Linked DNA regions of Oryzias latipes. The protein of the gene in region 3 purifies or fractionates together with the protein of the main gene of each other region. This does not show direct contact. Links are inferred from orthologs where the notes say so. Each region holds a gene or a part of one and is shown on either strand. Other genes may lie near its edges.

Region 1 (4,181 bases), on a different chromosome or scaffold from region 3:
CCTTCAGTGACGGGGGAGGAGCCGGCCTTCAGTGACGGGGGAGGAGCCGGCCTTCAGTGACGGGGGAGGAGCCGGCCTTCAGTGACGGGGGCGGAGCCGGCCTTCAGTGACGGGGGCGGAGTCGGCCTTCAGTGACGGGGGCGGAGTCGGCCTTCAGTGACGGGGGCGGAGTCGGCCTTCAGTGACGGGGGCGGAGTCGGCCTTCAGTGACGGGGGCGGAGTCGGCCTTCAGTGACGGGGGCGGAGTCGGCCTTCAGTGACGGGGGAGGAGCCGGCCTTCAGTGACGGGGGCGGAGTCGGCCTTCAGTGACGGGGGAGGAGCCGGCCTTCAGTGACGGGGGCGGAGTCGGCCTTCAGTGACCGGGGCGGAGTCGGCCTTCAGTGACGGGGGCGGAGTCGGCCTTCAGTGACGGGGGCGGAGTCGGCCTTCAGTGACGGGGGCGGAGTCGGCCTTCAGTGACGGGGGCGGAGTCGGCCTTCAGTGACGGGGGCGGAGTCGGCCTTCAGTGACGGGGGCGGAGTCGGCCTTCAGTGACGGGGGCGGAGTCGGCCTTCAGTGACGGGGGCGGAGTCGGCCTTAAGTGACGGGGGCGGAGTCGGCCTTAAGTGACGGGGGCGGAGTCGGCCTTTAGTGACCGGGGCGGAGTCGACCTTTAGTGACGGGGGCGGAGTCGGCATTTATTGTCTGGGCGGAGTCGGCCTTTAGTGACGGGGGCGGAGTCGGCCTTAAGTGACGGGGGCGGAGTCGGCCTTAAGTGACGTGGGCGGAGTCGGCCTTAAGTGACGTGGGCGGTGTCGGCCTTAAGTGACGTGGGCGGAGTCGGCCTTAAGTGACGTGGGCGGAGTCGGCCTTAAGTGACGGGGGCGGAGTCGGCCTTAAGTGACGGGGGCGGAGTCGGCCTTAAGTGACGGGGGCGGAGTCGGCCTTAAGTGACGGGGGCGGAGTCGGCCTTAAGTGACGGGGGCGGAGTCGGCCTTAAGTGACGGGGGCGGATTCAGCCTTTAGTGACGGGGGCCTTCGTGTTCCTTTCCATGCGTTCACCATTTTATGTATTGTGTGTGTGAATCATGAAGAACTCACATCGACTTCAGACAGCGTCTGCGTCCACTTGTAGTTGGGCAGATCTGCTCCATTCCCAGAGTTTGGCTTCAGCTTTCCCTTGTCCTTCTCGTCCTCCTCTTCCTCAGAATCAGACTGAAACACAGAAAAAGCCAGAGATGAAGCCTGAGATGAAGCTGTCCTCTTCATCACCAGCAGAGCGCCACTCACCCCCTTCTCTTTGTCTGCCTTGTCCGGCGTTTTCTCTGCGTTTGCTCGTCCCTCCTCCTTTTCGTCGTCTTTTTGCTTTTAAAAACACAGAAAGGTGAACATCACAGCGGAACTTGTTTTCTTTAAATCAACCTTCATAAAGAATCAAAGAGTTTACTTTGTCCAGCTCAGACTGCAGTTTCTCTGCTTCTTCGTCTGTCAGTTCCTGAATTCTGGGTCCATCTTGGTTTTTCCTCCTCTCCTCCTCCTCCTCTGCCAGCTTGGCGGCTCTTTCAGCTTTCTCCTTCTTTTCCTTCTCCTGTCTCATCTGCTTCTCCCTCTGGGCCTTCATGGCTAACTTGTTGTGGTGATCGAAGGCTTCTTTGACCAGCTGAAAGAGGACAGAGAGGCTGGTGAACGGAGGACAACACGTCCGTCCATCTCCAACAGGCAGAAGCTCCGCTCACCTTCTCTGCTGCACCAGAGTCTCCTCCGATGAAGAAATCTGTTTTACGTCGGAGGAAGCTGAAGAACGTGTTCACTAACTGTTGAAGCAAAAGCAGGCTGTGAGCTCAGGCCAAGGTTTTCTGCAGAGGACGGTGCAGAGCTCTCAACCACAAAGCCTCTCTGTCCTCCACACCCAACTCACCTGGACACTTTGGGATTAAACCGTCGCCTCAGGCTTTAAATTTAAACATTCCAAATGTTTCAGAAAAAGTATATTTTTTCTATTTCCCCAGCAACGATTATTCCTAACAAAACCTTAACTTACCACACAAAGGGCAAAAAGACTTCTGCTACACACAATACAGTCAAATAGTCATTTTGATGTCATTTTTTCAAGTATCTGACATGAGGAATTTAACATTGAGGAACAGACAGAAATCCTATTAGGTTATTTTATAATTCAGATTTTAAAAATGAATCAATTCACCACTGAGGTTGATGAAAAACAGTCATTTAGTCCAGAAAAAGAACAAATATATGAATTTCCTTTTGAGAACATGGAATTGCTTTGCAGTCAGTAACTAAAGCTGCTAACTGGAGGCTGATTGCAGACTAAAACTCTGGACTTCTGACGTAAACATGCTCCAAGAAGGCTGAAAAAGCTGAACTTTAAGAAAGAGACAAATGTCTGGTCAATTATGATAAGGTTAAGATATTTCTAAAGTAAAGCTTATTTAAATTACTGGTTCTCAAGAGCAAAGTTTTGAAAGATGTTATGTCCATTACTGAGAATACACAGGTATAGTATCCGGTCAAAAAACATCAAATTGAAGGAAACTGAACGTTTAGTGGGGATCTCCGTAAGGAAACGACTTTTTCATAGCAGAATAGTTAAATGAGCTCAAAGCAATGTGGATTTGAAACTGAAAATCCTCCAGACTTCCTAACGGTGTCAATGTTGACCAGGTGCTGCGGCTCCTCAGCATTTCAGCCCATCATGATTAGCTTCGGCGTTAGCATCTCGGATCTACGCACCTCCTGCACTCCTCCTTCGTGCTGCTGCGCCATAACCAGCAACATGCCGTCATACTTCTCCTCCTCATCGCCCATGTTGGTGGTGGATTCAGAAAAAGAAGAAAGACTTTTGGTAGAAACAAGAGAAAACTTCCCTCGGCGCGGCAGTGAGAGGCTCTGATCACGCTTGGCACTTCCTGGAAACAAAACTCCGCCCATGGCCGATTTGACCAATTGGAGCAATCCCTTTTAAATGACAAGTGAAATGTCCAATCCGATCGAGCTTCCGCTCAGGCGGGACCGGAAGTTCCCTGCGCAGGAAGGAATCTTCTAGATTAAAAGTCTGACAGTTTTAACTATAGATAAATTCTATTTTTACTTCAAACATTTTTAGACGCTATAATTTTATATTCAAAAAATGTTTTCATGTTTTGGAAAATATACCTTTCTAAGTTTGTGTACGTATTAGAAAAAGGGTTAAAACCATGGTTTTGAGGAGGATCATTAAACTTGACATGTGCCACATGTTAGCCATGCTTAAAACAATGCATAGTTTATTTGTCAAATAAAAATAAATCATTTGCCGTAAAAGCTTTTTTAAACAGATCTTTCCAAACAAACTCACTGGTTAAAAGCAATGTCTTTATTAACAAAAACAGGAACTCCATGCACATCATTTATGAGCCAACATCCTTATTCTTTTATTTCTTTGAAAATGTCTGGAGTGTTTTAGTCCGAGTACCTGCTGTGGAGACATTTTCTTCTACAGATAAAACCTGTGGTTTATGCATCAGTAGAGTTTGTTGTTTACCACTGCAGCAGATGTGATGGGCAGCGGCGTGACGTCATCATACCACGGTTTAAATACAAACTATGTTTTTGGAAAACTTATTTTTCCAAAAGGTGAAACAGGGTTATGTTCTTCCAGCTGTAGCTCCAGGCTCACATGGAAAACCCCAGAGCGGAGGTCCTCTCATCATCTGCTCTTCATCAGGACAGGACAGGCAGGTTTCATGCTGCACTGAAATTCCATTTATTTTATAAAAAACGTAATAATAATAATGGATTGGACTTATCTGTGCTTTTCCAGACGGTAAAAGTGCTTATAATGGGTCCTTTATTCCTTCATGCTTGGTTGTAACTACTGATGTATCCACTGCTGCTCTGAGGCAGACTGACAGACAATTAAAAAAAAAAAAGATTAATTTCTCCTCTTCCTTAAACCTATATGTACAAACTTTTGTTCTTCTGCAGTTCTTCATGCCCACACTTCTACCATATTGTCTTGCCAAACTGTTTTATTCAAATAAAACCCTATTTTCTTTTGTGTTGCTTTTTAAAATTTAGGAATAGACTGAGTATTTATCTAAAATTCTTTGAAATCGGATGAAAAACATAATTCTTATAGTTTTTAGCAAAAAGTAAAAGAGTTCCCAGTTTCACTTAATTTATTTCACTTAATCAGAGTTTA
Region 2 (4,309 bases), on a different chromosome or scaffold from region 3:
TGTAGAAGGCATGAAGGTAAGCATCGGTTTGAGAAAACCGACCACTGGAATGCAATACACGCATGCGGTTCAGGCCGTTTGTGTGATGCTGATTTCATCGAGTGTTAGACACAGCCTCAAAAGACAAACATTGTTAGAACTCACGTCGCTGTCAGACTTATCAGGCTCTTGCAAAACCAAACCCTTTCAACTCAAATATCAGGCAACGCTAGAAACTCTACAGGCCACTTCTACTCTGTATGAACTCACCAATATAAGTAGTTACCACTAGGAAACCTGTTTCCAAACAAAACACCACTGAAGTTAAGGAAATGATGGTGAAGAAATGAGGAGCAAAAGCACAGTTTCTTATTTGAGACCAACCTTCTCTACTTTCTTGTCCAGAATCTCTTTCATGAGCTTGCAGAGGTTCTCAAACTTGGCCTTGTCATCCTCCATCTTCTTCTTTTCCTCCTCATCCTCTGGCAGCTCCAAGCCCTCTTTGGTGACAGAAACCAGGTTCTTGCCATCAAACTCCTTCAGCTGCTGAACACAGTACTCGTCGATGGGCTCGGTCATGTACAGGACCTCGAAGCCACGCTTGCGGACGCGCTCCACGAAAGCAGAGTTGGCAACCTGGTCCTTGCTTTCACCTTCAGAGGCAAAAAACAAAAACTTAAGTCGTGCCAAAAGAATCAACAAAAGAACATATGGACTGGAAGCCAAACCTACCAGTGATGTAGTAAATGGATTTCTGGTTCTCCTTCATGCGAGAAAGGTACTCTGTGAGGGAAGTCATTTCATCTCCAGACTGGGAGCTGTGGTAGCGCAGCAGCTCAGACAGCTTCTTACGGTTCTGAGAATCCTCATGGATGCCGAGCTGTGAACATAAAAGTTGTGATCGATTTACTCAACTAAATTCTGGGTAATGCAGCAAGCGTTGCCCAATTCCAAGGCTTCACGCTAAATATGTGTCGATTTATTTTCACACCTTAAAAGTTTACAGGAAAAAAAAAATCCATCAGTTTATAGGCATCATTTAGAAAAGCTTCAGATATGTTTGAGATACCTTGATGTTCTTTGAGAAACCTTCATAGAATTTCTTGTAGTTTTCTTTGTCTTCTGCCAGCTCTCCGAACAGCTCCAGGCACTTCTTGACAATGTTTTTGCGGATTACTTTCAAGATCTTGCTCTGCTGCAGCATTTCTCTTGAAATGTTGAGGGGCAGGTCTTCAGAGTCCACCACTCCACGGATGAAGTCTGTTGTAAACAAACAAAAACGTTTTAAAGCTGCTGTGCATTTCCTTTCAGATCCGGTGGAACAGAGATTTAAAACTTACTCAGGTACTCTGGGATGAGCTCTTCACAGTTGTCCATGATGAAGACTCTCCTGACGTACAGCTTGATGTTGTTCTTCTTCTTCTTGTTCTCAAAGAGGTCAAAAGGTGCACGACGAGGAACAAAGAGCAGAGCCCTGAATTCCAGCTGACCTTCCACTGAAAAGTGCTAAAAGAGAAACACACGTCAGCACGAGGTTCCATCAGCCGATCAGAAGACACCCAAACCTCTATTTTACCTTCACAGCGAGGTGATCCTCCCAGTCGTTTGTGAGGCTCTTGTAGAACTCGCCGTACTCCTCACTCGTGATGTCATCAGGGTTTCTGGTCCAGATGGGCTTGGTCTTATTCAGCTCTTCCTGGTCAATGTACTTCTCCTTGATCTTCTTCTTCTTCTTGCCCTTGTCTTTAGCGTCTTCTTCATCATCTGAGCCCACATCCTCAATCTTTGGCTTGTCCTCACCTTCCTCCTTGGTCTCCTTCTCTTCTTTTTCCTCCTCTGCCTCATCATCACTGATCTCCTTGTCACGTTCTTTCTCCACCTATAGATAAACCACGTACAACTCCACATAAGCTTCTATTAGTGAGAAATATGTTTGTAAAAAAACAAACAAATCACTTACAAAGAGGGTGATGGGGTAGCCGATGAACTGAGAATGCTTCTTCACGATCTCTTTGACCCTCTTCTCCTCAATGTACTCCGTTTGGTCTTCTTTAAGGTGCAGGATGATCTTTGTTCCACGGCCAATGGGCTCGCCTGAGAACAGTGTTGTAGAGGTTAACAAATGTTTCACAGTCAGATTTTAGTTTGTTGCACCATAATTATAATATTTGAAGATCCATACCACTGTCGACCTTGACGGTAAAGGATCCCCCAGCAGAGGACTCCCAGGCGTACTGTTCATCGTCGTTGTGCTTGGTGATAACCACCACCCTCTCAGCGACGAGGTAGGCAGAGTAAAATCCCACACCGAACTGACCAATCATGGAGATGTCGGCTCCAGCCTGAAGAAAACGGCAAAGTTCCACAATTTGTATTCACTTCTGCTAAAAAAATATATAAATGTGTATATGTATTTTTCCCCTTTATGCCTGTTTATATTAATACCTGAAGGGCTTCCATGAAAGCCTTTGTCCCAGACTTTGCAATGGTACCCAGGTTGTTGATAAGGTCAGCCTTGGTCATGCCAATTCCAGTGTCAACAATGGTCAAGGTGCGGTCAGCCTTGTTGGGGATGATGTCGATTTTCAGATCCTTGCCGCTGTCCAGCTTGGAGGGATCAGTTAAGCTTTCATAGCGGATTTTGTCCAGAGCCTAAAAATAATTCAGCGTCAAGATATTTCACTGTATTGACACAGAGGTGATACGATGTTACGTAAACTGCTGCAGACTTACATCAGAGGCATTGGAGATCAGCTCCCTGAGGAAGATCTCTTTGTTGGAATAAAAGGTGTTGATGATCAGGGACATCAGCTGAGCAATCTCTGCCTGGAAGGCAAAGGTCTCAGCCTCCTCCTCTTGGTGCATTTCTTCAGGCATCTGCATAAGAAATAACAGGTTTGCAACAAACAGCGTCAGACTAATAATGGGATGAACCAACAGGAAACGCCAAAATAAAAGCACAACATCTTACAAATACGCAAAATACGGTAATAAACTGCCAATTATTTTACTAAGATTGTAGTTTTTAGTTTAATTTTTTTTAATGAATAATTTTAAACCATAAACTACCACAATTCAGAAACCGGTTCAGAGTCGGATCCCTGCCATCAGATTACAACATACGGGCGGAAGTGCAGCGAAACATGGCGGCGAGGCATGGACAATGGACGCTGCAAGCACGTGCCGACTAAAACCGAAAAAACCCGAAGCTTCCGTGAATATCAAGATCGAACGATTTTGGATTATCGCTCAGGAGCTTTACTGCAAAAAAATAGCCCCCAAAACTACCATCACCCCGAAAAACCACGAGCACTCCTGTGTCGGTTATGCAAGATGTACATGATGTACACACTCTGGGTGTAAGATTCTAAACTAGTAGTCCATCTAGAATCCTTCGTTGGCAAAATATACACAAAGACACGTCAATCGCTCGTTAAACTATGGTAATGTTATTCTTTAAACAGTCAGGTACAACCAACCTTCACAATAATAAATCTCCATACCTTCTGTCTGCCTACAAGATGCGGCAAAAGCCCACCACTTATTTTCGGTCACTAGTACAAGATTTAACCTAAAGCCCATTACTAATTAAGAATAGTAAACCCGCTATGTCAGAAATGCTTTTAATCGATGAATCAAGGTTAAACAAACCACGTGAATCGAAATCAAATAACAAAAAAACCCGTTAAATGACTCAACATTCGGTGTAGAATAATAATAAACCATTTAAAGTTTGGTTTCCCTCAATATGAAGTGAATTACCAAGACATACCTTGTTTCTTATGTTGGCTTTTCTTGAATAAAATGCAACAAAAGTGCTATCCCTGCCGCTCACTGACGCAGGAAAAAGAAAGGAGGATTCTGGAGCTGCACGCCGAATCTATATGCTCATGAGTTTCAGTGCAGGACAAGATCCCTCCGCGGCGCTCCTTCTCGAACTAACTGTGCTCCTCCAGAAAAATATGTAATTATTTATATCAACAGATAAAAAGTTATAGTGGAATAGCATGCACAATATTTTGATTGGCCAAGGAGGTAAAATCTAAACGTTATAAATTTATTATATTAAAAACAAAACTAAGAATAAAATCAATCGTATTTGATTTTTGCTGCCATCTAGCGGTTATTTAAGATACAGCAAAAACTACATCTACGAGCTTCCGTTTAGTAATTGTCTAAATTCTAAAAATGTGTCAAAATTTTGTTGAAAAAAAAAAGTATTTGTATAGAATCTCTATATCTGGATGTCAAAAATTAAAAGCACGCTGTATTTTTTACGGAATCAACGAACACTCTAGGTCTTTGTAATCACATGGAAGAATACCGAAGG
Region 3 (2,924 bases):
ACTTTATGGCATCAACTCAGCCCGTCGTGTTTGGAGGAAGAGAAAAAGGCTGCCTACGACACCAAGAACACCACCCCCACTGTCAAGCATGGAGGTGGAAGGATTATGTTTTCGGCTGTGTTTCTCTGCACCGTGTGGATGGGAGGATGGGCGGAGTCATGTACTGTCAAATCATGAGTGAGAACCTCCTTCCCTCCACCAGGAGGCTTAAAGTGGGTCATGGGTGAGTCTTCCAACAGGATAATGACCCAAAACCAACAGCCAAGACAACCAAGGAATGGCTTAAGGTCACGGAGCGGTCAAAACAGTCTCCGGACCTCAACCCTATAGAAAAAACCTATAGAAAAGCTGACGCTCAGAGATGCCAAGCAACAGCCACTAAATCTGAATGATTTAGAAGTCATTTGTAAAGAATAGTGGACCAAAATTCCTCCTGATGTGTCTGTTTTTCACTGTTCAAATGAGACTACCATTGCTATGAGAGACACATATTTTGGTATCACTCTCACTATTTTCCACTTCAAGTGGACAAACAATTTAATTAAAGATGTGTACAAATCAAGCATCCTTCAAATGTGTGATCTTTATTTGAGTGTAATGGCAGGAACACAGGCTCAGGTCACAAAGCACAGCACGAGCCCCCAGCAGGCTCTGCTCCTTTAAGTTCTTCTGTCATCAAGGAGGCCGCATGAGTCCCTGCAGGCTGTGATCAATAATACTTTGGCAGGAGGACGGTGACTCTTCAGGGTCAGCACAACACTTTTTTTTTTCGTGACTCAGGAATACTCCTCACATTTTTTGGATCTCAAGTGAAAAACAAAAACAGCATAAATAACAGCAACATAGGGATGAGGGGGACACTACGATCTCATCGGGTTTCTCCACAGGTTAGCAGGTAGAATCCAGAGGTATGGTCGCATCTGCGTTGAAAGAATGTCAAGGCCTCCTGTTTTTGTCTCCCTTCAACGGCTGACAGTGCCAGTCTCCAACGTGGGGAGTTTCCCATGATGCACTGGGTCATGGCAGCAGCACATACTTCTCAGCGATTTCCAGGACGTACAGGTTGGACAGACCTGATTGGTCCTCTACTGGATGGGTTTCCATGACGACGGTCCTGCAGTGAGAGAAGTCCCATTTTTATGCAGAGATGGTCCAGACGTTTAGACACCAAAAATCAAACCTCTCTTTACGCCACTAATGTCAGCACTAAAGTCTAGTCATGAAAGGATACAATGATGTTACATCCTCCCAAAGGATTATGGGTCATAGCAACCACGGAATTATTGTTTAGTCTTCCACTGATAAACATGATTAGACATTTCTGTGTCTCTACATCAAAGTAAATAATCATATTTGACTTAGCAACCATACTTACAACAGACTTTTATTATCTTTATTTTATTGTTGATTAAATAATAGGAGTGTTATGAGGGTTTCTTTTATATTGTATCATATGGCTGGCATCTTGGTGATATTTTGATTTTTAGTACATTTTATTACAAAAAAAATTCTCAAATCAATAAGATCCAAATGAATTTCATGTTTTACTTACTTAAATCTTTGAGGTATTTAGAAGATGAATGAGTTTGTCAGCACATAAATATACTTTCTTGTCTATAAAAATACAAGCTTATGGTCTTTAGAAGCAAGAAATAGAAATAATGAATTATTTGAATCACCGTACAGCAGTGGTCCCCAACCGTTTTAACGCCGCGGACCGGTATGACGTCATACAAAGCTTTGACTCCTTTTTACAAAGCATCTTTAAGATGTGGCGGAGGATTATTGCAGCAACGCTACGATGAAGGAGGAACAGAGACGTGATAAGACGAGCTCTGAGCCTCTAAATAAATAGGCATGTTTTCGTACATCGCACAGGTGTCATCATCCTCTCCCCTTCCCACACTCATGGTGCAAAAATGAAGTACTGTCTATTAAATGTAGCTTTTGTTTTTGAAAGTCGAAGGCTCCTCTTTGTCTCCTGGCTGGGTCTTTTCCCCTTGGCAAATAAACTTTCCAAAGACGTTTGTTTTTTACTCATTTTGCTAGCGCCTGGTTTTTTTTTTTAGCGGATGTAAAAGAGAATCAGGCGATTTTTCAAAATAAAACATCTTTCAGATTCTGAAATGAATAAAACGGCAGTAATGTAAGTTATTTATTCTTTCTGTGCGGCCTGGTACCAAATGACCCACGAACCGGTACCGGTCTGCCGCCCCGGGGGTTGGGGACCATTGCCTTACAGGACCGTTAGACGGACTGTACCAACTTTCTAGAAATGCTGCTCGAATTATGCTAACGTGAAAGCAACAGATGTCCAAAGCTGTACCTGTGGGACTTCACCATTCTGTAGATTTTTCGGGGGTCAGTCAATTCCTCCAGCACCTCCGTGAAACCTTTTCCTCTCCTCTGCCAACCATGGCGCCAAACTGTCAGGAGGGTGTCTTCAAAAAACACTGATGAGACAAAAACCGTGAGAAAACTGGAGAAACGGGATCTCCAACCGCTTGTTTAATAACGTTTAAAGCCAAATTATACATCTTAAATGTCCCACTCTTATAAATAACAAAACGTCAGATTGTTAAAAATTTCCAGGTAACTAAACCAAAAAAAAAAAAAGCACTTGTGGAAAGAATTACAGCAAGAAATCACCTGCAGTTTGAAGCTGCTTGTTCTTACCTATAGATTCAATCTCATGGAAGAAAGTGGTCTGCTGAGGAAGATGATGGAGGTTCTTCACCTCTCCGTTCAGACCAACACAAAGGACCGACTCTGTGGAAGAGAGACGTGGTCAAACATCAAGTTTCTCAAAAAGCTGTGAGTGAAGCTTTAAATGATCTACGGTATCCTCACTGTTGCATCTCACAGGGGAGCAAAAGCTCAGAACTTGAAACTTTAACAAAATGTGTGAGAATCCAACAAATCTG

What was found.
Region 1: the proteins of mitogen-activated protein kinase kinase kinase kinase 5 (region 3) and nudc purify together in Homo sapiens (affinity purification with mass spectrometry; 3 studies listed by BioGRID and IntAct, with this or other methods). This does not show direct contact. The link is inferred for Oryzias latipes from reciprocal best matches to the Homo sapiens genes MAP4K1 and NUDC.
Region 2: the proteins of mitogen-activated protein kinase kinase kinase kinase 5 (region 3) and hsp90ab1 purify together in Homo sapiens (affinity purification with mass spectrometry; 3 studies listed by BioGRID and IntAct, with this or other methods). This does not show direct contact. The link is inferred for Oryzias latipes from reciprocal best matches to the Homo sapiens genes MAP4K1 and HSP90AB1.

What each region holds. Positions count from the first base shown.
Region 1 is NC_019869.2:25,831,836-25,836,016, reverse strand, and holds the start of nudc (nuclear migration protein nudC), read right to left. Parts: upstream 2,929-4,181; 5' UTR 2,807-2,928; coding exon 2,732-2,806; intron 1,795-2,731; coding exon 1,717-1,794; intron 1,641-1,716; coding exon 1,428-1,640; intron 1,346-1,427; coding exon 1,271-1,345; intron 1,196-1,270; coding exon 1,082-1,195; intron 1-1,081. UniProt on the Homo sapiens protein: Plays a role in neurogenesis and neuronal migration. Necessary for correct formation of mitotic spindles and chromosome separation during mitosis. Necessary for cytokinesis and cell proliferation.
Region 2 is NC_019882.2:5,881,898-5,886,206, reverse strand, and holds the start of hsp90ab1 (heat shock protein HSP 90-beta), read right to left. Parts: upstream 2,863-4,309; coding exon 2,713-2,862; intron 2,632-2,712; coding exon 2,425-2,631; intron 2,322-2,424; coding exon 2,162-2,321; intron 2,074-2,161; coding exon 1,940-2,073; intron 1,859-1,939; coding exon 1,556-1,858; intron 1,486-1,555; coding exon 1,320-1,485; intron 1,240-1,319; coding exon 1,049-1,239; intron 860-1,048; coding exon 712-859; intron 633-711; coding exon 364-632; intron 277-363; exon of another isoform or gene 250-276; intron 1-249. UniProt on the Homo sapiens protein: Molecular chaperone that promotes the maturation, structural maintenance and proper regulation of specific target proteins involved for instance in cell cycle control and signal transduction. Undergoes a functional cycle linked to its ATPase activity.
Region 3 is NC_019871.2:4,865,078-4,868,001, reverse strand, and holds the end of mitogen-activated protein kinase kinase kinase kinase 5, read right to left. Parts: intron 2,770-2,924; coding exon 2,677-2,769; intron 2,454-2,676; coding exon 2,327-2,453; intron 1,115-2,326; coding exon 1,018-1,114; 3' UTR 564-1,017; downstream 1-563. UniProt on the Homo sapiens protein: Serine/threonine-protein kinase, which plays a role in the response to environmental stress. Appears to act upstream of the JUN N-terminal pathway.